Linked DNA regions of Diceros bicornis minor. The protein of the gene in region 1 interacts with the protein of each later gene in a biochemical or structural test. Links are inferred from orthologs where the notes say so. Each region holds a gene or a part of one and is shown on either strand. Other genes may lie near its edges.

Region 1 (14,965 bases):
ACTGGTTCCCATAACTAGAAGAGGCAGATGGGTCCCTATCTAAAACCACTGGACCCAGGGCTCAAATAATATCAGAGTGCCTGTCTTGGTTCTGTTCCCTCTGTTATTGTCCTCATTCTCTCCTACCAAAGACCAGCTTCCTTCAAGTGCCCAGGAAAGCTGGTAGCTCCAGATAGACAGTGTCCTCACTGAAGAAAGAGAACACCTTGCTCATAATTCCCCAGAGAAAGAGTCTAACTGGCCCTGTTGGGTCGTGCATCCTCCATCTGAACCAACTGCTATAGTCAGATGGACGGTACACTCTGTGATCAGTGATAGTCCCATCAGAATCATGTGGAGGGAAAGCATGGCAGCTCTTGAAAATTAGGGATATTAGTCCAAAATAATGGATGTTCACTACATTTTAACCTTGGGCAAGTCACTTAACCTTTGTGAGTCCCAGTTTCGCCATCTATTAAAAAAATGAATAATACCTACGATGCAAAGTTGCTGTGAGATATTAAAAATCATATTAAATACTTGACACATAGAGACATTTAATCTATGGTAGTCATTTTTGTTATTACTGGTACTATTATTGTTTTGTGGTTGTTTTTGACACAGCGATCGGAATCTGAATCCCATCCCAGATGCCCAGATGTCTAAAGCACTCCTGTCCGCAGGGCGGAGTCCCCTTTGGCTCTGCAGCCAGACGCCTTGCACAACTCAGACACTGTGTGCCAAGGTTAAGCTGGTTCACCATCTGACGGCCACAGAGCAGCGAGCGCCTCCCCAGCCGCAGCAATGTCAATACTGCCTTCCTGGCTCCGCCTATTGTATCTGGAGGAAAGTGGCCGAGCATTGTCTTCCAGCACTCCCCCCAGGAAGCATGATATCACCCTCTAACAAAAGCGGGAAAGCTGACAGATCTGCTGAGATGGGTGTGACCACCCACACACCTCATTGGTCAAGCCTTGGGCAAGGGGCTGAGACAGGCAGAGAGCAAACAGCAGCCACCCATCATGCCCCTCAACTGGCTGCCCGATGGGCTCCTTTGGCTCATCTTTAAATGTTCTCTCTCTCTCTTTGTTACACCCACACCATATTAGACCTGGAACCACCAGGCAGTGGGAATGCACTCTCTCTAATCAACAGATGTGTTGAAAAGAGTCAAGACTGCCCATCTGGCAGATCCATGTCTCCACACCTGCCCCTACAGCCTATGGGAAGGAATACAGGGAGAAGGATGGTCAGATTCCTGAAGAGACAAAAGGAGGCAGTGGGGGGAGGGATGTAGAGGGAGGCAGGCATGGCTCAATCTAAAAAACATTCTGCACGTGTGATGTGTGTTATGGAATATCTGGCCAGACTGGTGGGAATTGGTTTATCTGTTTAAAATTCCAGAAATAAGGGAGGTAACTTTAGACATTCCCTTTCCTGAAGGCTGGGAGTGATGCCAGCTGATCCTCTGACATCCCTTCCAGCTCTGGTTCAGTAATGCTATCAGTGCAGCTGGCTCTCTGTAAAACGACACACCTGCAGTCTGGTGTCCCCACACTAGGCCCAGATGCTGTCACTCTGCTGCCCCCATCTTACTGTCCCCTTCTTAAAACTCTTTCTTTCCTTAGCTACTACAACGCCAATTCTCTAAAATCTAAGGAAAGGAATTTGATTGGGTTTGCCTCTCCTACCAGCTCCCTGACTGCTTCTTCATAGAACCCTTGGCTATCTCCTCTTTCTCTTCCCTTCACTTAAATCTTGGTATACATCCATGCCCACGGCTTCACTTACCATAAACTAATGATTCCTATGTCTCAATCCCATGCCTAATCCTCTTCTTCCGAGCTTCAGACCCAGAGAGTCAAATTTTGCTCAATATCCCCCTTTACATGAAAACTCAAAATCAAAATGTACAAAATAATTATTTGCTCCAACCCAGCACATCTCCAGCAAGTCCTTCTGCCATATTTCCCAGCACGCTGAATGGCACCACCATTGCCCAAAACAGAACCCCGGAGCAACACTTATTCTCGCTGTTCACTCAACCTCCCATATGCAACCAATCACCACCCCTACAGTTTCACCTCCTACACACTCTCAATCCCCCTCTTCATCCCCTTCTTCAGTCTGCCACTTCATCCAGTCCTTCCTGCCTGGAGTATTGGGAAGCCAAATTGTTCCAGGCTTACGGTCTCTGCCACGCCAATGCATCCTCCACACTATGAGCAGAGTGAATTTTGCAAGACACAAATCAGACATGATAGAACAAACACCACACTAAATTTCAACATGTAGAGAATGAGGGACAAGCTACTTAAAATGGCCTACAAGGCCCTTCCCGATCTGACGCCAACCTTAATTCTCTACCTCCACCCTACATTCCAGCCTTACTCAACTTCCTTGAGCTTGCCTTGCTATTTTATACCCCCTGCTCCCTCTAATGGAAAGCTCTTTTTTCCCTTTTCCTTTTTATCTTCTTAGTGTTAAAATCATTTGGCTATGAGTAACTCATAATCATGATAGGCCATAATTTTTGGCAATATTCATGACTATTTAGGAGTTCTTGCAAAGTGAAGAAAATCTAACCTACAGATTGTTTTCAAATATTATTAATTTTATTCCTACTAAATTTAGAAACTAATAAAGTTGACATTTTTAGACACTTAATCATTTATGTTTAACTTAGATTTTAAAGTTTCATCTTTTATTACTGGAGCCAATAAAAATTTTTGTAGCTCTTAAAAAACTAGATTTTGTATATACCCCTATTATATCATTTATCACAACATCTTATAATTCATCTGCCTGTAGTCATCTTTCCTACTAAAATGTGAGTTTAGCAAGAGGAAAAAATGACTCAGCCTTTGTTGTATTCCTGGTGTCCAGTCCAGTACTTAGCACAAAGTAAGTCCTCCATATGTCTTCACTGATTGACATGAGAGTTGAATGAATGAATGAATGAATGATAGGCAGGCAATAACTCATTAAATGTCTACTGAATAAAAAGTATTCATATCTTTTGGGTAATAGTCAACAATTGTACAATACCTAATATTAGGTAAAGTCCTGGTTAAACCCAATTTCATGAGTATATCTTTTACGTTTCACACCAAAGAGAAGAAAGGGATTTTCTTTTGGCCTTATTTACATCAAATATTTAACATAAGCCAACTTTTAAGATATGAGTGAATAGTACTTGCAATGTTTATGAAGTTGATTTATTACTATTGTTGTTATTATTATTTCAACATGGCTAAAACTCTTTCCACAATGTTCCCTCTTTCTTTCAGTGCTGCTGTGGCATCCCAATAGTTTCTTACTATGGAATATTAAACTCCATTCAATAAAGATTACTGAACATTAAATGCACGCACTATGGAGAATAAAAAAGAAATAATATCTGTTGTCAAAATGTTAGAGGCTAATTGGGCTAAATCTATGTGTCCAAAGCTCAAAGACATGGCCTGTGTGGAAGAGAATTCAGAATTAGGGGAAGGACATCATGAGGAAGAGTTGGCCTAGGCAAGTTGAGTTGAATTGTGTTTGCAGAGTGGACATGGAGAATGTCATTTCCAAATGGATGGAACAGCGTGAACAAGAGCCAAGAGGAAAGAATGCAAAGATTGCAGAGATGGGCCTGGTTGAAGTAGAATGGCCATGAGCAGAGATGAATGGATAGGTGAGGGGAGGCACTGGATAGTAGGCCAAGTGTTCTGGCTTCTCAAGTGGTGAGTGACCAGCAGAAAATTTGAGGAACTGGATTATGTGGAGGTCTTTTAGAAGGAGACTGCTTCTATGAGTAGTAAGTGACTCCCCTACATCTTATAAAAGGTTAGATCAGTCTTGAACTAGCCCAGTGGTCCTAACAGAAACACTTCTCTTTTGATTACATTGGCTTCATTTATTAAGAGAGTTCTTACTAGTGAAGCACTTTACATGTATTATCACACTTGATGCTTGTAACAACTCTGGGAAATAGGTATTCCCATCCATAAAAGATGAGAAAACTGTGACTTAGAGAAATCAAGTAACTTGCCCATGGTCATCCAGTTTAAGCTTAACCCCAGGGCTGTGACTTCACAATCCATACCCTTAACTTCTCCCGCATTCTTGATTAGCTCTACCTCAGTCCCACAGAGCAGTGGCTTCAAAAGAGTCATCACTGCCGGCCTGGTGGCGCAAGCGGTTAAGTGCTCGCGCTCTGCTGCGACGGCCCGGGGTTCACCGGTTCGGATCCCGGTCGCGCACCGACGCACTGCTTGGCAAGCCATGCTGTCACAGCATCCCATATAAAGTGGAGGAAGATGGACATGGATGTTAGCCCAGGGCCAGTCTTCCCCAGCAAAAAGAGGAGGATTGGCAGATGTTAGCTCAGGGCCGATCCTCCTCACAAAAAAATTTTTAAAAAAAAGAGTCACCATAGTACGTGTGCATGTGCCTTTTTTTTTTTCTCATAAGGCATGTTGATTGAGTCAAAATTCAGTGTAAATTGATCATATTTGGGTCTGCACTCAGGAAACACACCAGTTTGATTTTGTTGGGCAAAGATCTTTGTGACTTTTCTGAACCCTTATCCACCTGCCCAGTGATCAGTGAGGAACCACAGACAGTGAAATGAAAAGGATGTGAAAGGCAGTAAACATTACACTCCAGATCCTCTTTTCACATCCCTAATAGATGATCATCTGACCTTTGCCTGAACACTCCTCCTCGTGGAGGCGACGATTCACTTTTTAGATTTCCATCAATGAAGTCAAACTCTGTCTTTTGTGCAACTCCTTCCAACCCTGGATCCTAGATTTGGCAAAGTAGAATGTCAATCAAGGATGTCCTTTATATGGAAACCCTTACAAATGCTGCTCTTCATCTCTTTTCTACTGGCTAAATATTCCCATATGACATGGTTTCTAAAGCACTTACATTCCTCTTTGCCTACTATGCTTGCTATCAAATTTCTCAGTGTCTTCAGTGTTTCATGGACATGCCCTGAGCAATAGTGTGAAGTGAAGTGATTACCATTTCTAATTTGGACCTTATGTTTCTACTAATGCAAACTATTACAACTCATATTACCTTTTTAGCAAGCAGAGTGTGTGTTGGCGCCTATGAATTTTGCGTATCACCAAAGCTTGGGTGTCATTCACTATGGTCTCTCTCACATTGAATATAATTCATTTATTGAGCCCAAATGCATAACTTGATGTTAATCTATTTTGAAATGGTATTTTAGTGTTTGGTCCCATCCTTCTAGCCTAGAGACACATATTTAAATCCTGATTCTGTGCTCTAACCAACAAGCCATCTACAGGGAATAAGTGACACAATCACATACATATCTTTTTAGCGGTAGAGCCCCAGGAGACAAATTGATAATGTCAGAAAAATTTAGGGCCTACCCATCTGAATCCCCCAGAGGACATAGCATAGTCTTCTGAGATGGACTTGGAAGAGTCCTTCCCTCCTGGACGGATGTCTTAGAAGAATTAGACCTTGCAGGAAGCTCTCCCAGGGTAGGGCTGAAAGGGCAATGCTGAGACTTCCCAACAAAGACAATGCTTAGAAGGGAGCATCCGTGAAGAAAGAACACTCCTCCCTCTGAGAATAATTCCTAGGTGTGTCTCTCATTCCAGCTTCTAGATCTCCACCCTTGATTACTCAGACTTGATACTAGCCTTCCAAGACCAGCTCTAATGAGGAGGTTCCATCTGGGATCACTTCCCTGACCTTATAACTAAATTTTCTCTGCCACTCCAAACAAGCTATCCACTATCTCTGAATCCAGTTTGTTATTTAGAATGTCAAATGAGACAGAAAAGAAGGCATGCTACTAAAGACTTCCCACTAGATTGTGTTGATTGCATAGGACATAGGATGATAAAGCAGAAAGAGTGATTTGTTTCATTTTGTTTTTCTGTATATACGACTCTTGAGAGAAAGCAGCCTGGTTTGGTGAGAATGGAAGAGTAGGGAAAAGCTAGTGCGTTTATTAGAACTTGTTGATAAGCTGAAATTGGCCATGATTCTCAGTTGGGAGGAGAATCTACCAGAATTTAGGTGGGTTTGGGGGAAGGCTTCTGAAAACTACACACCAACCCTTTTATGGGCCAGCATTTGCCACCCAGAGCCACCTTCATGGAGGCAAATGTGACATATTTTTTCAGTTCTATTTGTTCAGAAAAAAGGAATGAGAAACAACCCACTGTACTAGAGAGATAAACCCACAAGCCTTAAGTCCCTTGCTCCGTTACTGTAGTCCACCAGTGGAGTTTCGTCTGAGGAATGGACTCTTCTGCCTGTAGACATGAGCATGCTGGATTCTTATTATTGCAAGTACCAAGCCTTGGTTATTCATGTTCATGGGGGCTTAGACCAGGAATGTAAGTTAGGATTCAACACAACAGACCTACCCCAGAAACAACCTTGTTAGTGTTACCCTTCCTTTCCAATAAGAGCACGAACCCCTTTCCTTGGGCCTCTCCCTGCTGAAGTCAGTGCTGTATTTACAGTGAACTGAGGTCTAGACATGGAGCAACTATTTTGGCCACATAACTTTTTTGTTTGATTTTATGACAGCTCCTCTGAGCCTGTATTGCAAAGTGCTATAACATAGTCACTTTGAGGAAAAGTGAATTAAAACAGTTGTGTGTGTATGTGTATTATTTAACCTAAAAAGTACCTCAGAGCAATTGTAGACCCGTGGGCTTTGCATTACTATAATCCCTAGGATAGAACCAGTTACAGATTTCATATCATGTATAAATAAGTCACACAGAAAAGAAGCAAACCCAAAATAGAATCATGATAATTATTTGATTTAAAGGTGCATATTATTGGAGAAATCAACATTTCTACATTAATATAGACAATTTCTACATAAATATTGAAACCATCTCAGGTAATCTTTCATTTTCAGCAATTTGTATTACACATTCTTAGTTTTAAAAATATTATTAAATCCTCAATATAATTGGTGGTTGAAAGCAAACTGAAGAGCTATAAACAAATTACATACAATTCTGTTATCTTATTGGATTAATTTTTTGAATATTTAATATTTCAAACATGAAAAAATATAAAAATAATATAGCAGATACTTCTGTGTATTTGGCTAAAATTCTATTAATATAATATAGTCTGCAGCGTTAAGTTCAGTAAATTTTCCCAAGTTCATTTCCAATATCAATTCTATTTTCAGTACAATAATTAGAATGCTTTCAAAGTGAAGGGGAAAGATTGATGGCAATCATGGTTGTGATGTGCACTTCAGGTTTTGATACTCCTTTCAGCCAGTGTCCCATAGGCTGAGGGAACAGCAGAGACATGCCACTAGCTAGAGAATCTGAGCAACAGACACACTAAATCTAACAACATTCAGGCCAACCATTCCTTAGCTCCACAACAGGTTTCAATATGCTCCCGTGCCCAGTGATCTTAGTGACTGCCTAAACTTTCATTTCACTGGGCCAATAAAGACTTTATGAATTACTGTATGCCAAGTATTTTTTAAAACAAAACAAAAATTATATAGCCCTAATCTCCCTGACCCCAACTATAAGAAAAAACAAAAAGCCTAGCATTTGACTGCTTTGATTAAAACTGTATGTTGATACGAAATCTCTATAGAAAAGGATTTTTGTTCTCATTTAAAAATGACAATCTGTACGCTGCCTTAAGTAGGTCCCCATAGTTCTCAGCATGAATTTCATTTTTAAAAAATTACTGAAGATTTTCTTTGGAGCAGGTAAAGCCAAGTTTCTTCTTTTTTAAAAAATAAGGAAATAATCCCAAATAAGGAGCAATAAAATAATGCACCACAGTAAGCGTGTCTCTTCAAATAAAGTGACCTAATCAGTTCTCATAGAGTCTGTGGCAACACAGGGGGCAATTATCCAGAAGAGAAAGTCTAGAAAAATTAGTTCATGCCACAAGGACTTTGAATTTCAATCCTTAAATACATTAAACAGAGAGTCACAGAGAAGCAGCCCCTATGCCACAGCTGCCCCTTGTTAACCAGCACTAAGAGTTGGTGAGAGAGCCCAGAATCACTAACTGTTTGAAAAAAACTAAATTAAAAAAGCCAAACCTTACCAGAAAGGAGCAAGCTGACTCCATAGAGAACTAAGCCAGCTAAAGAGTCCATGCTTCCCCAGATCTCTCCATCCAGTTTCTGCAGATGTGCATGAGGTCCCAAGGATCCTTTCAAACACCCAGAGGTTTCTGACTTTCCATTCGCATGTTTTACCAGGTCTTGTTTACAAGTCAGAGGCAAGAAGGAACAGCACAGAAGCAGGCTGTAACAGTCTCATTTCTGTCTGAGCACAGGGAGTTTTAAGTTCCTTTTTCCTGTTTCCTTTGTAGATTAGGATGGGAAAGGCTGTATCTTAAAGGCATTTGGTATCAGCAGGGCTGGGGGCAGTGCGAGCCCTCTCCATCTTGCAATTCATCAAAACACTTATCTATTGCTGTTGCTTCTGCTGCTGCTTTTGCTGCTGTGGTTGTAGGGGTAGAGGAATTTTTGTTGGAAGTGTGGGTCCTGGTCAGCATTTTCAGAAACAATAGGGGTATCCTCTCATGGGCGGGAACTGAGAATAACAAGCCCTCCACCTATGTATGGTATGCGATGATGATGGCCCCTCTCAGCCTTCTAACAGCTCTCCCGGGTCCACTTGGGAGCCCTGACAGAGGGGGCTTTTGGGTGTGGGAGCAGTTTTTGCTTTTGTTTTCTCATTTTAACCCACATGGTTTGAATTGGGAAAAGTTTTGCTGATGAGAGAACACAACCCGAAAGGCAATTAATTTAGGTAATTACATTTAGGTAATTACATGCTCAATGTGGCCAGAGACCAGAGTCCAAAATTGTTAGTCTGTTTTCTTTCACACAGATGGTTATTTGTTGGCCAAGAGCCCAAAGATATCCATGCTACTGGGTATAACTTTAGCTTTTATTAACAATTCATCTGAAGGTGATCTAATTTCTTAACAAACTTGGCATAGAAGTTAGTAATGAAAGGGATTTTGTGGCTATTGGCCAATGATGTTTCAGAAGCAAATTCTATCCAAAATTTTGTAAATAACCTGTGTAAAAACCAAATATAAGTGACTGGACTGGGATAAAAATATTCATAAGAGCAGAGAGAGTACATAGGCCAAAAGGAAGATAGCCATTGGAGTCACCACACCTAAAATGAGAGCAGAGACCCTCAATTTATCCAGATGGCAATTTCTCTATAACACAAACTATGACTGCAGAATAGAGTTGATATTCTGTTCATGCCTGAGGAAAGAACTGTCTACTCCTCCTTTTCCTACTCTCCATAGGAGAAGGTAGATGCTGCCAGTCTTGCCTCATTTCTGTCCCAGGTTTTATCACATCAGTGAGAATCTTGAGAACCAATTGATGTTTCCGGTGTGCTGGGATAAAAAAGCTCCAGCTCTGTTTGCAAGCAGACCTAGGTTCAAATACCGGCTTGGCCACGTGTAAGACAAGTTATTTAACCTCTTTGAGCCTCAGTTTCAACAGCTGTAAAATGGCAATAATATCTCCATCATGGGGATTTTTGAGAGGATTAGATGAGGTTTAAAAATACATAAAGACATCTGGCACTGTGCCTAATTCATAGAAGGCTTTTGTGAAATGTTAACATACTCATTTCCTCTCGTCTTTCCATTCTGTCTCTGATTTCAGTCCCAGACCTTCCGCCAGAAGGCCATTCTCTATTCCTACAGGACGGCTTTAAGTTTGGCATTGTGAAGAAGCAATCCAGGAGTCGGGGACTCTGGGTTCTAGTCCCAGCTCTGCTGTGATCTGCCAATGAGGCCCTGGGCAAGTCATTTCCCATCTCTAGGCTTCAGTTTCCTCAAGTGTAAAATGAAGGGTTTAGACTGGATATGACTAATTTCCCTTCTGATTGTAATACCTCCTAAGTCTGAATGACTATATTGTCCCACTCTCAGCATCCCCAAGTTGATTCCTAGGTCCCCTGATCTGGGAAGTTCCAAGAAGATGCTAGCTTTGTATCTCTGTCACTATGAAAGCCTGAGTGGGTCACAAATGTGCTCTATTTTAAGAACACCGTGGCTGAGACTTCGTAAGGGGCCACTGGCCCAAGGCCATATGGAGCAGCAATGAAAGGCCTTGGCAATAAACAAACTCCAGGGCACCTGCCTCCCCAGGCACAGCTTCCTCTGTTTGTGCTGGATAGCCACACAAGGAAGTTGTCATTGCTCATAGTCTCTCCTGTTGGCTACTTCTTGTGGGCTGAAGGTGTTACTACCTTGCTTCCTTTTCTGGGATGCCTGCCTCTGTTACCTAGAAAAGTGGCTCCATTTTACCCTTCCCCTATTATCCAGAATGATCTATCCTTACCCAGAATTGTTAGTCATATTCTTCCTCTGTCCATTATCCAGAATGAGTGACTACATTTCATTCTTCTCTCTATAATCCAGAAATGTTGCTCAGTTTAATTTATTTCTCCATTATCCAAAAGAGTATGTAGTTTAATCTCATCTTCCAGGATCCAGAAAGATTATTCCATTTAATCCTTTCCACCGATATCCAGAATATTGACTCCATTTAATAAATATTGCTGGATTTCCTGAGCCTATGACTATACAGCTAGTCAAAAGGCTGAGCAACTTTTCTCTGGGATGTCTAAATCTTCAGTAGGTACGTTCCAGGTAAAGTGAAGATACTTTGTGGACAAAAGTACCCAGACATGCTCTGCTCCAGCTTTCTGCTCTATGGATCTTATAGAACGTGGAGAACCAATCAAGGAACAATGATATGAGCTTCACCATGCATGGTGAGGCCAATAGGTCAGCAGAGCTGATTGGCAACAGGTTGGGAAGTTGCAAAACTGGATGGCATGCCAGGATTTCCAAGGGAAGGGAGAGGCCACTTCCATGTCTGGACAGGACTTTCCCCAATACATAACGTATTAAGGAAATACCACATACTTGGACATGGCCAAAGCTGGCTGTGGCCATCATCAGGGCATCTCCATTCCTTGAAGAGCCTTGTTGGGGACCAGCTGGATCAGCTGTCTACCCTCAACTGCTCTATCCACCTGGAAAGTTTGAAATGCTCTTTCCATCCTTGACTGACTAACTGCTAGTTATCTTCTAGGTCTCAGTCTGAAAGGTCTTCCTTGACCGTTCAATCCAAACTAGGTCTCCCCTGTTGTTCTCTCACAACACCCTGTAATTTTTTCATGGTATAAATCACAACTGATAATCATATATTCATATCTTTATTTTTTCAATGTGTCTTTCCCCCCAGTTGACTACAATCTTCATGATTCAGGGACCATATCTAATTTATTCACCACTGAAGTCCCAGACCTGAGCACAATGTTTGGCGCAAAATAGCTCTTAAATAAATACTCAGTGAACTGATAAATGAAAATACTCCCATTGTTACTCATATACTCATACCTAGAAAAGGCTTTGGAGTCAGGCAAACCTAGATTGCATGTTGTAGCTGTAGTTTACTCACTGTATGAACTGGGCAGTTTAATTCACATCTCTGAACCTCAGATTCCTCATCTTTAAAATGGGGGAAAATAATGCCTACTTAGGGAGATAATATATACACGGTATCTGGCACAAGTATGTATTTAGTCAAGGCTCTCCACGGGTTCCTTCCCCATCCACAGCCACCAGCACCACCCCTGGACTGTTCAATAGAGCTATTTGCAATTAGGAAACGAAGTCCTACACAGGCTAAGTAACTTGCTCAGCTGTAGGTACCAGAGGCAGTATTAGAATCCTGGTCTTTTGGCCTCCAATTTTTGCAAGTTTAATATATGGCTCTTTTTTTCATAGTTCACCTTTAGACCACAGTGTGCAGAAGAGTAGATAAAGAGAAATGTAGGAGACATCACAAACACCAAGAGAGTACACCCAGGCCTTAGAAGGTATTTGAAATGAAACTTTGACAGAAAATGGAAAAGTTCGATGACACTGAGAAATGCCATCAGTTCTCATTGTGCTTCCAAAACAGTAATCACTAATATCAGGATCTGTGGGTCTCCACTGCCTTGCTCCAGGGAAGTGAAAGGGGGCTTCCTCATGAGTCAAGCTTTTCAGCTTAATTTGATTTTTCCAGACACAGAGCAGAACAAAAATAAAAACAAACCAACAAACGAGCAAACAAGCACTTGGCTGATATTTCATTTTCTAGTCTCTACTTTTTGCACTTAATATATGAAAAGTCATCTACAGGAAACATTAAAAGTTTTTGGGACAGATTAACAAAAATATCAACAGATAATAAAAAATGTTTGTGAAGAGGTTTGGAAAATAACTTATACAATGTTACTGTAAACTAGTAACACATGTCTAGAGGTCAATATCACAGATATGTAGCAAAGGCTTAGATGCATATCCTTTGGCTTAGAAGATCCATTTTTATGATATACCCTAAGCTCAAATCAAAGATGTGCTCCCAAATATACATATAAGGGCATTATAGAAGCATTGCTGATGATAATCAAAACCTCTAAACAATCTAAAAGCCAACAAACATGGATTATTTATATAAATCATGGTACACAGTGAAATACCAGACAAATGTCAAAATGTTGTTGTGGAAGCATATTGACATGGAAAGATGTAAAGATATTTATGGTATATTGTTGATTGGAAAACAGTTTGAACAGCATTAAATTTATACACATACACACACGCACGCACACACACATATATAAAATAAATATACACCAAAATGTTAAAAGTTATCATTTCTGGGTCTTTGGAAACTGATAATTTTTATTTTCTTTTTTATAAATTTCTATAATTGCAACACTTTAAAAAATAATGAGCATATATGTACCAAAGAAGAAGATTGGGGGGAAATCCTTGAGACAGCTGACCCAGGGCACTGGGCTGTGTCTTAAAACACCCATTGGTGGGGCCGGCCCAGTGGCATAGCGGTTAAGTTCACACAGTCACAGAGTTCACAGGCCCGGATCCCGGCTGCGGACCCATGCACCGCTTATCAAGCCATGCATCCCATATAAAGTAGAGGAAGATGGACATGGATGTTAGCCCAGGGCCAGTCTTCCTCAGGAAAAAGAGGAGGATTTGCAATGGATGTTAGCTCAGGGCCAGTCTTCCTCAGGAAAAAGAGGAGGATTTGCAATGGATGTTAGCTCAGGGCTAATCCTCCTTACCAAAAAAAACCAAAAAAAACAAAAACACCCATTGTCAAATAAGACACAGAATCCAGTGCACCTCAACCTGGAAGAGGTGAGTGAACAGATCGGGGTGTGAATTCCCCACAGCGTAGCCTTGGCTTCTGCCTTTCACAGGGCTGTGGGCACTGAACCTCCCGAGCCCTCACATCTGGCTTCTTAAGGACTGTCATGAGCCTTTTTGTGAACCCGCTGTACTCAACAGTGGCTAGCAGAAAAGGAAGGGGCATCAACAATTAAGCCTTGGCCCTCAGCCAGGACACCACAGTTAAGTGGCAACACCCACTCTAGTCTGGAGTGGAGCTGATGGCTATGGAAAATACCTGACCCCCTCTGAACCCCATTTACTCGAAACCTTTTTTTTTTTTTAGTATCTAAATGGCAAGCACCGTGCTAGTCGCTGTAGGAAGAGACACAGATAGGGAAGATGTGGTCTCTGCTTTTGAAATTCAAAGTTACACAATCCCAGCATGGCACAACGCATCAAAACAGGAAAAGTTAAATAAAATTAAGCATTGTGTGGCTAAATACCAAGGGGTGGTACTGCAGTAAAAGTTTTAGTAGTATTGGCTTTGGTATCCTTTAGGCCCTGAGGCCAGTTCTAATGCCTTTTTTTCTTCTCCTGGCATTTGCCTGGCATCTTTGCAGATAGACTTTACGCTCCTTGAGGCAGGGGCTCTGTACTTTATTTCAGATGATCCTGTGCTATTCTCTCAATGGCTTAAGGGAAAAAATAATTAGGACACCCCACAACCATCATGAGACCTATTTGCCAGAATAGACTGGGGGTATTTCCACGACACCCTTGCCAAAAAAAAAAAAAAACCTTCAAAAAAAGATACAAATAATAAGAAAAGAAAAAAGGAAAAGAAACGCCTATTCATTATTCATCCTTCAAAATACCATTCAAATGTCTCTTCATCTGTGAAAACTTCCTCAAATAGGTAGACATTGATACCTAATAAACCAGCCCAAACTTAGCGGCTTAAAACATTTATGTAGCAGCTTGAAACAAACATGTATGAAGCTCATGATTCCGTGGCTCAACAGCTCAGGCTCACCTGGACAATGCTGAGTTTAGCGGGCCTCCCTCGCGTGTCCGCAGTCAAATGTCAATCCTTCTGTAGTAAACTTTCAGGGATGGGCAAGCTGATGGGTTCTGTGTGGCAACAGGGTTGAAGGAACCACAAATCTCTCATCCTCTATCAAGCTAGGCTGGCTGTTATTAGGGCAGGCTCAGAAATCCAATGGAGTGCGTGGAAATACGCAAGTTCTCTTGAGGCTGTTAAATTAATTAAACAAGGAGGCCTTTAGACTGAGGGGCTGTAATGCTGTGGCCGCCCACATGAAATCAAAATATCATTGGCCTATCATTACTTCTGCCACATTCTGTTCGCCAAATCAAGTCACATGGCTAAGACTAGATTCGAGAGGCGGAAAAATAGACTTCACTTTTGATATGAAGAGCTACAAAGTTATAATGCAAAGAGCAAATATTTTAAAAAATGAAGATTTTCAGTCATTTGTAAAAAGTCAGATTTGTTGAGATATAATTTATATTCAGTAAAATTCCCCCCTCCCTTTAAAAAAACCGTGGTTTAAAATACATAACATAGAATTTACCATCTTAACCATTTTCAAGTGTACATTTCAGTAGTGTTAATTATATTCAAGTTGCTGTGCAACATATGTCTAGAATTTTTTCATCTTGCAAATCTGACATTCTATACCCATTGAATAACTCCCGATTTACCCCTCCCCTCAGCTTCTGGCAACCACAATTCTTTCTGTTT
Region 2 (14,920 bases), on another chromosome or scaffold:
GCAGAGTGTGGCACCTCCTGGCGGGGAGACCTGGGTAGCTGAGGGAATGACAGGAACATGAGGAGCCTCCACTGAGCGCCTGCTGTGGGCAGATGCTCTCCCGGCTCTGGGAGAACATCTCCCAGACGGGAGATGCTCTCCACAGACGAGGCACCGAGTGCCAGATGGGCCCCGGGAGGCCATGTGACTAACCACTGAGCTGCCAGGCCCAGCTACAGAAGCCTGCTCTCCAGCTGGCTCTGTCCTCCCACCCCCTCAACATTCCTGGCTGTGGGTTTTCAGCTTTTCACCCAGATGAGGGGTGGAGCAGAGCCAAGAGCTGATGTGCACCCCACAACACCAACTCCAGACGTGAGTTACTGGGGCAGAGGCCTTCCAGGAGGAGGGGGAAGAGAAGGGAGAGAGGTGGAAGGAAGGGGAGAACAGTAGAAGGAAGGAGAGGGGGAGGGCTGCAGAGGAGAGTGGTAAGGAGGGGGAGAGGGAGCAGGCACCCTCTGCCCCCTGCACTCTGAGCACTGGCAGGAGGGCATCAGCCAGCTGCATGCTGGGAGGAGACAGTGGGTATCTTGGGATTCAGGAATTCTGATGCAGAAGGAAACAGCCCATTGTTGCTCAGATCTTGCCTCCGCCATCTCCTTGACACCCTCCAGAGTTAGGAGAAAGAATATGAAGTTTGGAGTGAGAATCTAGGCTGGCTCTCGCTGCTGTGTGACTCTGGCAAGTCCTTTCCCCTCCCCAGCCTCAGTTTTCTCACCTGGGGGATCAAGGAGAGGGGTTGGGGGCATGGGCTGGGTAGGCATTGGCTGCTGGGAACTTGCAACAGCGCCCCTGCACCCACCCAGATGAACGGAATCTTGCTGGGTGCTCGGTCTGGCCAGGCACCGCCCCCCTCCGTCATCCCTGGTCACCCCAAGTGGTGATGGTGATGATGATGATGCTACTAGATAAGAATATTTTGAAACTAGTTTTTTTTCTCTTCTGGGATATTATAGCAGAAGCCAAAAAGAGGCCTTCAAGTGTCAAAGACTCAGATGTGCCCAGACCAAGAGAATGCACGAGAGACAAGCCAGAGGAAGGTCACAGCCTCAGAAGGTAGCAGGCATCCATGACAGGGGCCCGGGGGAGTCGGAGGGATGACTGTTCACATGCTGTGTATCCCTGAGCCAGGGGCCACATGTCTCAGCTGGGGGAGGAAGGACCCAAGGATTGCAGGACTTGTGTTTCTATTTCTAGGAGAGCCTCTAACGGAAACAGCCAGCATTTATAGAGAATTTACTATATGTCTGGCACCAGGCTAAAGACTTCATGCACATCATCTTGTTAAATCCTCACAGAGGTGAGTAGTGTTGTCATCCCGTCTTATAGGCGAGGAGACTGACGCTCAGAGAGGTGAAGCAATTTGCCCCAGGTCACACAGCTAAGAAGGGGCAGGACGATTCTTTAATCCCAACAGCTGGGTTTCAGAGTTGGGGCTCTCACCTTCCAGGCTATGCTGCTCCCCAAGGAGGACAGGACCCAGGGAAAGTGCCTGCCAGGTGTGGTTAGGCCGATGGGTCTGATCTCATGGCAGGCTCCACGGGCACCGGGTGACCTGGCAGTGACCCGAGCACCAAGGGGCATGAAGGGAGCGCTTAACCCCAGGGGCCCCTTACCCAGGAGAAGTCACAACGAACAGCAGCTTGGACCCCACCAGCAACCAAGCAGGACTGGGGACCCCTCGAGAACACCATCTTGGACAGTGACACTCCCAGCCCCGAGGTTACCTGCCACCCTGGGACTGTCTTGATCAAGACCGAGCTTCCCCACCCGGGGGTGCAGGGCTCGAAATAGAGATGATGTTGAATTCAATAAAAGCCCATCAATCTACTGCATCCTTGCCCACATGGGCAACCTGACGTCATCCCGAAGCCTGACCTGCAGCCAGGCGGCGGCTGAGAGCAGCATGTGAGCGTCCTCGCAGGTCTCCCCGGCCACCCCCTGACATCCTGTCATTTTCTCCATTTTGCAGATGGGGAAACCGAGACTCGCTCATCCACAGCCAAGTGGCAAGTAAGCCCAGGGCTGGGATGTGAACTCGGGTCTGCCTGGCTCCCACAGCAGTGCTCTTTAGCCCCATGGCGCTCTATGGTGACCGCTGCCCAGGACTGTCAGGCTAGGTGGACAAACACCTGGAGAGGACATTCCACTGCCGGCTGAAGACGTGAGCTGGGTGGCCTTCTGACTCAAAAGCCACCGCTTTAAATCCATCCCTTGGGTCAGCCAGTGTTGCCCGAGCACCAGGCACCCAGGGGAGTCGCAGATGGTTGAGAGGGTGAGACTTAGGGTAGAGGAGCCAGGTGGGAGGTGACGAGGCCTGAGCCAGGGCAGCAGCCAGGGAGACAGGAGGATGGAGGCCAGTGAGAGAAGCTGAGGTGACAGGATGGACGGGACCTGCTACCCGGGGGTGAGGTGGGGTGAATGCCACCCCAGGAGCATTCACCTGGCTTTGGCAGCAGGAGGCCTGTTGGCTGGGTGGTAATACCTCAAACAGAGAGAGGTGGGCAGGGGAGGGAAGAGCTGAGTTTCAGGCAGCTTTGGAGTTGAGACACCAGGGGCCCTCAGAGGGGAGATGCCCGGCGGCATGGGGGTGTGGTCAGGGTCATGGATTTGGGGCTCAGGAGTCCATAAGATGCCAATCTGATGTCATCATGGAGCAGGCTGGAGAGGTGCTGCAGGAGTGTTGGGGACAGCCCTGGGGGCAGTGCCATGAAGCGTGGGAGGAAACGAAGCCTCAAGACTACGTCCTGGGAAACACGAACATTGCAGGAGAGGAGGAGGAGTGGGAGTGACCTGGGAGATTGGAGGAACGTCCATGAATCCGTGCATCCATGATCCACGCACCCACGCATCTACGCATCCATGCACCCCCATATTCACGCATCCATGCACCCACGCACCCATGCGTCCATGCGCCTACATATCCATGCATCCATGCATCCACGCATTTGACAGCCATGTATCGAGCACTACTGCATACCAGGCACTGTCCTACACCCTGGGAACCCAGTAGGGAACAACACAGATGTGGTCCCTGCCCCCTTGGAGCTCTCAGACCAAAAGAAATGCTTTTAAGAGTAGGTGGGATAAGTGCTAAGAGAGAAAACCAAAGCCAGGTGAAGGGACAGAGAGTGACAGGAGGTGACTATTTTAAATGGGGTGGACAGGGAGGGCCTTTCTGAGGAGGTGACACTTAGGCAGAGACCTGAGGGAGGCCAGAGGTGAGCCACGTGGGTGTCTAGGGGGGTGTATTCCAGCCAGTAAGGATTTTTGCTCTTCTTCTGAAGAGATGGGAGCCCCGGGAAGGTTTTGAGCAGAGGAGGGACAGGATCTAACTTAGGTTTTAATGGGATCTTTCTGTCTACCGAGTGAAGAACAGGCCTGGGTGGAAACAGGGCGGTGGCCGTGATGACCGTCGAGGTAGGAGACGGAGGTGGCAGGTCCAGGGTGGGGCTGTGGAGGTTGGGAAAGTGGTCCCAGTAGGTATGTTTTGTAGATGAGGACTTGCTGATGGAGACAGTTTCTGGAAGGATAGTGTTGGTCAGCAATGTCAAATGCGCCAAGAGGTCAAGTCAGATGAAGACCGGGCCATGGCCATGGGAAGCGGGAAGTGGATGGGGAGGCGACCTTCAGGGAAGGAGGCGGTGGGAAGTGAGGAGGCGGAAGCAGAGTGTGTGTACTCCTGAGAGCCAGGCCAGAAGTCCAAGCGGCTGTGGGTGGAGAAGAGGCTTCTTCCCCTCCTCTCCCTCTTCCTTTTCTAACAGGGGAGATACTGGGATGCGAGTAAACCCTGAGGCGAAGGACCAGCAGAGAGGGAGGAGTTGTCAGGCACACAGGAGAGGATGGTTGGTTTGAGGGGTTGCAGGGCTGCAGGGGAGGGACCCGCAGCCTAGGAGGGAAGAGTGGCCTTGGCCCATGGAGGAACCCCTTTCCTCTGGGCCAGAGAAAGGCTCTGGGGACTGGCAGGTGCACTGGTGAACCTGCAGTGTGGGGCAGCAGCTGAGAGGCGTCTCTCCCCTCGGCTCCATTTCTTGTTGAAGTAGGAGGCCTGTGGTCCGGTGAGAGGATGAGGGGGGTGAAGATGGAGGCTTGAGGAGGAGGAAAGATTTGGAATGACCCTTATGGGACTGGAAACAGCTGCCTGAAGAGATACACACAGATTTGAGAGCTCCAGTGTGTGAGGCCAAGAGCTCCCTCGAGGGGGATCTGGGGTGGGATGGTGGCAGGCTGGATGTGCTGCAGGGCAGCTGGGTAGAAGGGCGAGTGGGCAAGATGGTGAGTGAGGGGCTGAGGAGACAGTGGTCGGGGCAGGTATGAGATAAGATGTTAAGTGTGCACGCACACGAGTGTGTACACGAGTGTGCATGACACAGGTTGGTTAGATACGTTACGCCTCTGCATCTTGGGAACAGATCGTCTCAGGGTGTGCACAGGGCCATCCTTTGGAAAACAGGAGGAAACTACCAGACCTTCAATTCACATGATTTCTTGTCATCTTTTTTAAGTTCTATCTTCATATGTGTTGTACCCTGTACGTGTTATATGAACATGGGTCCATGTGCATGAATATTAAACAAATCTGCAGGCATCAGGGGAGCAAACGTTGTTTGCTGATTGGGAACATGATGTGAATAATTTGGAACCCGTGGGGTAAGAAGGGACTGCTCCTCAGAGAGGCACTGTGGGCTGCCTCTTCCTCCTCTGCTCTCTCCTTACAGTCTAAAACTCGCTGTCTGCTGGTTAACACATTCGAAGCTCCGGGAGCTGGTCCACTCCCCTCCCCATCAGCCGCCGCTCAGGCTGCTGCTGTGCCAAGTGCCCGGGCCCTTTCTCTCTCTCAGCAGCTGCTACTTAGGGGCTGCGGCCAGCCCCTTCTTGGACCCCGCAGGATGCCTTTTCTGCCCCCATGCCCACCCTTGGCTAAGCCCGCCTCCTTCACCTCTGCACCTCAGTTCCTCACCCCGGCTGGGAACACAGTGGGTGCTCAGAGTGTTTGCTAAGAGTGAGACAGAAGATCCTAGAGCGGCCTTGGGCCAAAATGGTGGTGGAGTCCTCAACTCCTTGACCTCTGCCACCCCATATCCAATTCATCAGCATGGCCTGTTAGCTCCCCCTTCAGAATACTCCAGAACCTGACCGGCCACCCCCCTCCCTGGCCCATCCCGCTCCAGGCCTCCATCATCTCTTGCCTGCGGCTGCAGTGGCCTTCCTCTTGGGCTCCCAGCACCCGTCCTGCCCCCTACAGCCTGTTCTGTTAAAATCAAATCAGGTGTGTCTCTCCCGGCTCAAAACCCTGCAGTGGCTCCCGAGATGCTCAGAGCAAGACCCAATGTCCTTCCAGTGGCCTCAAGGCCCAACATGTGCCCTCCCCTCCCTGGGCTCTCATCCCTCACCCCTTCCTCCCCCTCTTTCTCTGTCCCAGCCCCTCGGCTGCCCTGCTGTCCCCCAGGTGCCCGACTGCGTCCCACCTCACAGCCTTTGCTCTTGCTGTCCATTGCCGGGAATGCCTCCCCCAGATACCTGCACGGGCGGCTCCATCACTTCACTTGTTCTCTGAATTCAAATGCCACCTCCTCCGAGAAGTCCTCTCAAATTACTTGACCTCAAATAGCCACCCCGGTCACTCCTTGCCCTCTACCCTCCTTCATTTTGCTTCACCATCTGACGCAGCAGGTATTCATCGTTCATCTCTTTCTCGCCCCTTTCCCCCACTAGTCCAGAAGGGCATGTACTGTTCTGTTTACTGTGTATCCTCCAGCATCTAGGATGGGCCAGGCCTGTGGTCAGTGCTCAGTGAATTTCTATCAGATGAATGAATGAATGGCTGTTAGGGAGCCAGGTTTCCAGTCTGACCCTGCCCAGTCTTGCTGTGTGGCCTCAGGCCCATCCCTGCCCTCTCTGGTCCTCATTATCCCAATCTGTACAATTCAGAGACAAGGGTCCCATCAGCCTGGCCCTCTGTGCCCAGGGAAGGCCTCTGGGGCGGACACGCCCCCTGCCCATCGAGACAGACCCCAGAGCCCCCCAGCACCCCCTCTGCAGGCCAAGCCCTTACCTTCTGCAGCCACTGTGTGTTGTTCTCCAGCACCTTCTCCAGCTGTCGCACCCGCTGGGCCGGCCAGTCCCCCAGGCTCAGTGCAGCGGCCGGCGAGTCCCTCTGGAGGCTGTTGGAGCCCCCGAAGGCCTCAGGCTCCGGCGGGCAGGGCTCAGGCTCGGGCAGCACGAAGGTGTAGCTGCACTGGCCATGCTGGACTCGGTGCGCCCGGCGGCGCCCGCCCGCCTCCTGCCCCCTCCGCTGGGCTGCAGTCATGGTGGCCACCGTGAGGAGGAGGCCGCCCAGCAACATGGCTGGCCGGGAGAGCATCAGGAGATGTGGCGATGGCGAGGGGTGTCCGGTCAGAGCCCCCAGGGGCTTTGCCTGCCCACTGCCCAACTCCGTGCCCAGGACGAACCCGTGTGGCCGACAGTGGACCGCCTGCCCGCAGGGCTGCAGCTGCAAACCACTGTTTGGCCGAGCTCGTCCAGGCGGCTATTTATACTTGCTCCAAATACCACAGCTGCTCGCTTCCTCCCACCGCCTCCTGCTCCCGCCCCCAGACACCCCCGCACCTCTATTTTCCCCCTTCCCTTCCTTCCTCTTCACTCTTGCCCTGTCCTGCCGTCCATGCACCGGCCGCCTCTGGGTCCTTTGATTATCCAGTGGGGGCCCGGCCTCCCTGCGAGAGGCCAAGACAGAAAACAACACACACAGACACGGGCGCACACACTCACACACACGCAGACACCCACCCCCCAGTGCTGTCCGCCTCGGAAAACCAAAAGCAACTGAAGCCTCTCTTCCTGTCTCTGTCTCTCTGTCTGTCTCTCTCTCCAGCCTCCCCCAACCGAGGCGGGGATCTCAAGTTTCAGCCCCCCACGCCACCCCCTCCTCTCCCCCTCCCCCTTCCCCCCTCCGGTTCCATGTTAGCACTTGGAACAAAAGCAAAGTGACCCCCCGGAGAGCGAAGGGAGGGGGCAGAGGGGTGAGGCTGGGGAGGAGGCAGCCAGTCCCGCCTGTCTCCGGAGGCACAGAAAATCCTCGAGAGGCCAGGGAAGTGGGCGCGCAGCTGGGAGCTGGCTCCTGCCCTCCCGTCCTCCCTTCTCCCTCGGGGCCTGGGGGGACGTTGGACTCTGGGGTGGCCCTGGCTCAGTTGCTGTGACAGTAATGAGAGGTTGTGCTGTCCTGGGGCAGACTGTTCCGGGGCCGCCTGTGGCTGGAGCAGGGAGGTGGAATGCGGGGAGAAGAGCTCGGGGGTGCAGCGGTCTCTCGGCCAGCCCTGGAGTCAGAGGTGGCTGGTCTAAATCCCGCTCCCAACTGCTGGCCGTGAGACCCCGGGCAGGCGGCTTCGCCTCTCTGGGCCTCCACATCCCGACCTCTAAGCCAGGCAAACCCCATCTCTTGCATGAGGAATGTACGTGAGTCCTAAGCATAGAGACTGAGGAGTTTTTAGTTTACTTGTTTACTGGTTCAAATCCTGGCTACACCACTTACCAGCTGTGTGACTTTGGGCAAGTCACTTAACCTGTCTGTGCCTTCTTTTCCTCTTGGTGAACTGAGGGAAATAATACCATCCACTTCACAGGGTGTGAAAATTAAGTGAGTCAGAGCAGTGCTGGCACAGGGTGAGCACTAAATAAAGATTTTTTATTGCTGTTGTCAGCGTCATAGTTATAGTGTATCTCCCCTCCCACAAGTCGCTGGAATGTAAACCCCACGAGGGCAGGGACTTGTTCTTGGGTGACGCGTCGCTGGGCAGGAGGCGCCAGGGAGTTGGTTGGGCCTCTCCTGGGTGGGCTGCCTTCCGGCTTTCTCTGCTCATTTTCCCAGCATGGGGGCCAGGCCAGCTGCTTGGTATTGTTTTTTTTTCCCTTTGTTTTCCCAAATGCTGATGGAATTTTGAACCAGGCAGGCTGCTTGGGGCGGCGGCGATGTAGAGGCTCATCCGGGGGACTGAGGACATTGTACCAGGTGTGTGGGGCTTTGGCAGGAAGAGGAAAGGCAGCTGGTTATCAGCCACTGGAGTTCCCTGAGCTTCCCGTGCGCTCAGAGCCCTGCCCGCCCGCCTGGCCTCAACTGTCTCAGCTGTAAATGGGGTCACCCCACCTCCGACCTCTCAAAGAAGAAGCGCGTTAATGCAGGCCAGGAGTATATCACAGAGCCTGGCACAGACGAGCCCCGAGGAGAGGGCGGCTGTCATTAGCATGCGTCAAGAGCCGTGTGGTATCCCGGGAAGGCCAGCGCCGCTATCGTCCCCATTTCACAGATGAGAAAACCGAAGAGCAGAAGAGTGATTTGCCCAAAGTCACACAGCATGTTATTTGACCCAGAGCTGAGAAGGTGGGCAGGCTCAGCTGCCACGCTGACCCCAGAGCCCCTCCCACTCCTCCCGGGTATCCCCGGGGCAGTGGGCGAGGACACCCACCCTTCAGCCTCAGTCTCCTCATCCGTGCACTGGAGAGGGCATGAACACCTCCTCTGGGGCACCAGGATGACAATGGGAAGCTCCTGAGACAGGCAATGCCTTTAATCTTATTGATCGAAAGAATGAATGAATGAAATGTAGTCTCCTTCCCTGCACAGGAAGGCTTAGCACAGGCTTAGTTAAACAGACATGGGCCCCATAATTATGCTAGCAGCCCTCTGCCCGGAAGAGGAGACAGAATTACCTGTCCACAGAAGAAATGTAGGTAGGATCCAAAGAAGAGTTCTGGAGAGCCTGGGATATGGCCCTGCCAACTCTGCACCTCCATTTCAGCACCTCCTTCTCACCTCAGGACCTTTGCATATGCTGCTTTCTCTGTCCAGAACACTGTTGTCTACCCACCCTCGCCCCCACCTTTCACCAGTGTCCCAGTTACTGTGGCTGCCAACAAATTACCCCAATAGTGAGCAGCTTAAAACAAACAGTATTGTCTCTCAGGGTTTCTGTAGGTCAGGAATTCGGGAGCAGCTCGGCTGGACGGTCTGCTCGAGTCTCTCATGAAATCGCAGTCGGGTGGTGGCTGAGCTGGGGTCAACCCACAGGCGTCTCCCCTCGCCTGTCAGCACCTGGGCAGCCCATGCCCACCATGGTGTCTTCAGGTGGTGTCTTCAGCTTGGGGGCTTCAGGCAGCCGGGCTTCCTACATGAACTCAGGGCTACAAATGTGCGCATCCCCAGAGAGCAGGTGGAAGTCACATCGCCTTCCTCTAGGACACCCTGACATCCCCTAGGCCATGACCTGGCCTTGAAGTCAATCAGTGGAACATCTACCACATTCCATTGGTCGGGGTCTGCCCAGGATCCAGGCAGGGAACACAGACCCCGCCTCTCGATGGAGCAGTGTCATCGTCACAAGAAGTCTCGCGGGATGGGAGGTGCGTTGCCGTAGCCATCTCTGGGAAGTGCTACGGCAGCAGAACTGATCCACGCTCACACGGGCCCTCGGCCCTGTGCAGGTGTTAAGTCAGGACCTCCCTCTTATAGTCCCCGCTTTATCCCGGCCCTTCTCAAGGGGCCGGGAGGGCCATCCCTTGTGCAGATTCTCATCTCTCTCTGTCTGTCCTCAGCGTTTGGTCTACAGTGTGTTCTCAGTCCAGATCTGCTGAATGAATGAATGAATGAGTGAGTGAGTGAGTGCAATGCCCGAGCCAGGCTCTCCCCGTTGGGCTGATGGGGAGCCGCTGTGGGGCTGCACTAACAGGGCACACCCGGGTGGACACAGACGCTGGGCAGCCTTGGGCAGATGGCTGACCACTCCAGGCCGCAGTGTCCTCTTTGTCTTCCGCAGTGTCCCACGCCTTCCCGTGGGAGGGCGCGAACAGGCTCGACCCACGTCCCCCCGAGATTTCGCAGAGGCCAGCTCTCGGGAGAGTTTACAAACTGCCAGGCCGCTGAGGACCTTTAACCCAGGTCCCAAAGCCAGTGTCCAAGGTGGCTTGGGCATAAGTCTAGCGCAGAGGCTGAGGGTTTGCAAAGTGACCTCTTGGCCTCAGGGGAAACCGGAACCAGCCATTCCCACGAGAAGCAGCAGGTGCCAAGGTGGCAGCAGGTGGGAGGAGCTGATGGCAGGACCCAGAGAGGGAACTGGGAAGGCGCCACCTGGGGTCAGCTGGTGAGCTCAGGGAGCCCACGTGCCGGTACCCGAAGGCGACACTGAACTCTGGACCCGGAACGGCTCTGTGTGTGGACTCGTGGCCCCGACCTCACTTCTGAGAACCAGACGCAGGACCACCCGCCTTCTGGACACGACCCCCAAGGTCTCAAACAGAACTCCCCATTTCCTACCCTCCCGACTCCGCCCCGAATGAGCTTCTCCTGGATTCTTCCATCACTGGCATCGCCCAGCCTTGACCAGGCACCAGGGACAGAAGCCTGGGAGCAGAGTTGCCACCTCTGCAGTTGCCCAGGGCCCCGTGCTGGGAAGGGTCTCATGCTTTGTTTAATGCTCTGCTGTCACCGTCCTGAGAGTCTTAATAAATTCTGAACAAAGAGTCCAGCGCTTTCATTCCGCACTGGGCCCCTCGAGTTATGCAGCCGGTCCTGCAGGGAGACCTGAGCATCTCGCTCCTCCCTTACCTGTCCCGGCCCTGCTGCCCAATCAGACCTGCTCTCCCAACGTGACCCTTCAAATATTCCTCCCACTCTTCATTACTCCGGGCACACCGGCGCCAGCCTGTCTAGACTGGAGTTCTGCTGTCCTGCCTCCCAAATGTACGGTCTTGGCCAATCTGCTTAACCTGCCTGTGCCTCAGTTTCCACTTCTGTCAATGGGGTTGATACTAGTCATTACCTGATAGGATTGCTAAAGGGTTGAAAAGCTGATCCCTGGGAAGGGGTTAACACAGAGCCCAGCATATGCTAAGTGCTCCATAAATGACAGCCAACCATGTCCTCATGTCCCCACTGTCACCCTCAGCCCGGGGCGCTCCATCTCTGCCGAGGGGACAAGATAGAACTGCACTCTCGTTGATCCATCTTGGATGCTGCAGCCGGAGAGATGTTTCTAAGACACAAATCCAGCTCCTGACTTTGCTTAAAACTCGTCAGTTTTAAACTCCAAGCCCTTGACGTGGTTTACAAACCCCTGCAGGACCCGGCCTCATCGCTCTTCCCTTGGACTCTGTACTTGTGATGTGGAATTGGTTTACTTCCAACACGCTCTCCGCTCTCTCCGACCTCAGTGTCTGCTCTTGTGGTGACGTCTGCTCGGACCATCCTTCCCACTTTATTCACTGGCTTCTTTCTACGTGTCTTTCAGGTCTTATCTCAGGCGTTACCTCCTCCGGGAAGTCTTCCCTCATCCGCCTCCCTCCTTTGGTGGGAACAGGCCCTCTACCTTGGGGAGATCAATGCCCCTTGCCTGTGCATCCCCCGTAAAAGCACTCACCCGCATTACAAAGGCCTGTTTGCAGGCCTGTATACCCCTCTAGACGGGAAACCCTTCCAGGGCATTGACCACACTTTCCCCTTCTGTGTCTGCTGCCTGTCCTAAGGTCAGGTTCATAGCAGGTTCTCATGGGTGTTTGTTGAAAGATTAGTCTCCACTAGAGAGTGGGGGCTGGAGCTGCAGTCCCCAAGTAGAAACTAAGGAAGTCATCCTTTTCTCTCCAGGGCAGGGGCAGCAGGAAGTTTCTGTTTGGGGTATTTCAAGTGTCTTGTCTCCAAACACTGAAAACAACCCCCATTCCCCCTGGTTTATTTTCCCTTTACTAGCCTGTTATTGCCTTGGAGGCAGAGCATGGAGAAAATGCATCTGGAGACTTTGGCTTTTGCTCAAAGGGCTTGGGCAAAAAGAGAGCTTATTGGCCAATGTAACCGAAAAGTGTAGGGGTGTCTAGCTAGCTTCAGGCATAGCTGGATCCAGGTGCTCAAATGATATTAAGAATCTTTTTTTTTTTCCTTTTTCTCCAGCTGTAGGCCCTTGTTTTCCTCTGTTGGCTTCATCCTCTGACAGTTTCCACCACCATCACCTCCACCACTGGCAGCAGATCCAATCTATTAACTTACCAACCCCCTAGAAATGGAGTGCTTTTTTCCTGATATTTTCGGGGAAAGTTCTGGCTTGGGTCACATGGACTTTCCCAAACCAACCACTGTAGCTAGAGGAATGGGATGCTCTGATTGGTCAGGCTTGGCCATGTGCCCAGGCCTAGAGTAGGGTCAACCTCATAGGACCCAAAAGGATTGAAGGAAGGGTAGGGTGGTTCTCAAGGGAACCTGGGGTAGAGTGACCAAGAGGGAGATGGATGTTGATGGGTGCAAAACACCTGCCCATCTGCTTCCCTATCCTGGCCACTCACCGAGTGAATTGGCTTCCTCTCCAGAGCCAGTGGAGCCTTGGCATGACCGTGGATGCCATTGATCCTTACCTTGCGGTTAGCTCATGAGGAAACATACCCAGAGAGGGAGGCGACTTGCACAAAGTCACACACTGGAATCTATTTTCCTGGAAGAACTGATCTTCCTGCTCCTGAGAACAAAGGCAGGGAAACGGGATGATTCCTGGAGAGTCACTTGCTGATTTGGGGCTCCTCAAGTATTTCGATCTGTTAAAAACAAGACAACAGGCTCAAAATGGAGTCACTTATGCTAAGACCCATGTCACCAAACCGAGACTTGATGCCTAACTTGATTACAGTTTCGGCTTTCCCAGGCATGGAATCCTAAACCAATCAATCAGGAATAACCTGGTCGGCACAGTGAGGCAATCTGCCTGACGGACCCCCGCTGTCCCCTAAAGGAAGGTGACTTGCCACAATCAGTCCGCTTTTTGCTGCTATAACTTCCTGGTCCCCTCCCTTCTGCCTGTAAGTCTTCCATTTTGCACAGCTCCTCGGAGCTCCTTTCTGTTTGCTGGATGGGACGCTGCCCAGTTCATGAATGGTTGAATAAAGCCCATAAGGTCTTTAAAATTTACTCAGTTGAATTTTGCTTTTTAACAGATCCAAAGAGAAGATTAGGCCACAAGTCTGAGTCTCCCACTCCTGGCCTCATCTCCACAATCCAGCACGTCCTCCAGCCCCTCCCTTTTCAGCTCCCTGCTTCTCAGCACCCAGGGCGGTAACCGAGGATTGCAAACCGGGCAGCTTATAGCGCGCCCCAGCCTCTTGTACTGCTCTGTTCACGTCCCCGAGGACAGTACCTGGGCATCTCCTGGGGCCACTGAGGGCAACGTCGTGAGGTCTGGCAGGAAGCTCTGGGGCAGCTGACAACCCTGGGGATGATCCATCAGTGTCCCTGGGAGGTCGAGGGGTGAATCTTGTAGAGCAAGAGTCACGGGGTCCCCATAAGACTTTCCACCCGAGGCAGTAGTCTGTTTGTCAACTGTTCCCCGTCTCCTCTTTCCTCCACACCAAACCCAGAGCCACAACACAACTGATGGATCCGAAAGGACCCCAGGCTGGGTTTTGAGGTCACCCCCGTGGCCGAGGTCCAGCGATTAAGAGCCCCTCACTCCTGGCACTGACTCCTGATTCCACTGCAGTAGGTGAGACTCGGTCTCCTCGTCTATAAAATGGAGAGGATGGTCTCCCGCTAGCAAGGCGTAGGGGAGAGTCTTCCAGTTCCCAGAGCTGTGTAGCAAAGTACCCCAACACTTGGTGATTTAAAACACTGGGAACACCTACTTTACTCATAAATGTGCAATCTTGGCCTGGGTCGGTGAGGACGGCTTGACTCTGCTCCGGTCTGCATCAGCTGCAGCCGCTTGAAGGCTGGAGCCCAGAATCGTCTGAAAGCTCACCCATTCACATCGCTGAGGCCTCAGCCGGGACTATCAGCCGGAACAACTAGTACGGCCTCTGCACGTGGCGGGGCTGGTTACACAGTGTGGTGGCTGGGTTCCAAGGGCCAGCATCTCAGGAGAGCAGGCTGGAGGCGTATGACCTTTCGTGACCTGGCCTCACAAATCACACAGGGGCGATTCCTGTACATACATTCATAGAGGCCTCACAAAGTCCCACCCAAGTTCCAGGGTGGGGGAGCAGGCTACCTCTTGATGGGGAGTGGCGAGGTTTCAGAAGAGCGTGTGGGCTGGGAGATGTTGTGGCCATTTGTGGAAAATACAGTCTGCCACAGGAGGGCAGGATGAGAAAACGACATTTCAGTATTTAGCCCCTAGGTGCTCGAGAGTTGGTAACTGTTATTATTATCCCTGCTATTGTTGGAAAGATCCAGCATCTCTTGGCATGAAAATGTCCTTCAGACCCTCTGATAATTTAAGGTGCAGCAGGAAGCAGGATTATTGCCATCGGGGCTGCCAGAGACATTGGCCCAGAGACGCCCTGGGATTCGTCCAAAGTCGCCCAGCATATCAGCGCCCAGTCCAGTCCCAGCCAGATGGGCCTCCAACACAGCTGCCTCTGCTGTTAGCAACACTTGTCTCTCCCCCGGGGTATCTACTCTGGCCTTGGTTTCCCCTCTAAACAATGGGAGTGTCCTGGCTTTTTGGCCCCAGAGGCCGAGGGGACTAGCATGGAGGACACGCAGCCTCTTGGCTGTGCTGCTCAGCCCGGGCCACCAGCCACGCCCGTCCCTTCTCAGGCCTAGGGAGCTCGGCCGCCTCTGAGCCCGCATCTGGCACTCACTCCAGGACGTGAAGAACGAGCCTGCCAGGTCGGAGGGCAGATCTATTTTGGAACCTGGGACCCCAAGGAGGCCCAGAGGAGCCCATGACCCAGAGAATCCACAGGCCCCTCTATATTTTGTTTGTTTTTATTAAACAAGCACAGCATGTCCCTTGTATAAAAGTCAGAAAATACATATTAGCAAGAGGAAAAAAATAAATGTTGCCTGTGCTCTTGGCAGCCAGAGGCAAAAACCACAGCTAACGTTTTGGAGTATTTTTCCCTAATCATTTTCCTC

The links.
Region 2: the proteins of TEK (region 1) and ANGPT4 form a complex in vitro, tested with the Homo sapiens proteins (2 studies listed by BioGRID and IntAct). The link is inferred for Diceros bicornis minor from reciprocal best matches to the Homo sapiens genes TEK and ANGPT4.

Annotation. Positions count from the first base shown.
Region 1 is NC_080761.1:48,412,468-48,427,432, reverse strand, and holds the start of TEK (angiopoietin-1 receptor), read right to left. Parts: upstream 8,194-14,965; 5' UTR 8,120-8,193; coding exon 8,068-8,119; intron 1-8,067. UniProt on the Homo sapiens protein: Tyrosine-protein kinase that acts as a cell-surface receptor for ANGPT1, ANGPT2 and ANGPT4 and regulates angiogenesis, endothelial cell survival, proliferation, migration, adhesion and cell spreading, reorganization of the actin cytoskeleton, but also maintenance of vascular quiescence.
Region 2 is NC_080758.1:29,007,772-29,022,691, forward strand, and holds the start of ANGPT4 (angiopoietin-4), read right to left. Parts: upstream 6,542-14,920; 5' UTR 6,401-6,541; coding exon 6,092-6,400; intron 1-6,091. UniProt on the Homo sapiens protein: Binds to TEK/TIE2, modulating ANGPT1 signaling. Can induce tyrosine phosphorylation of TEK/TIE2. Promotes endothelial cell survival, migration and angiogenesis.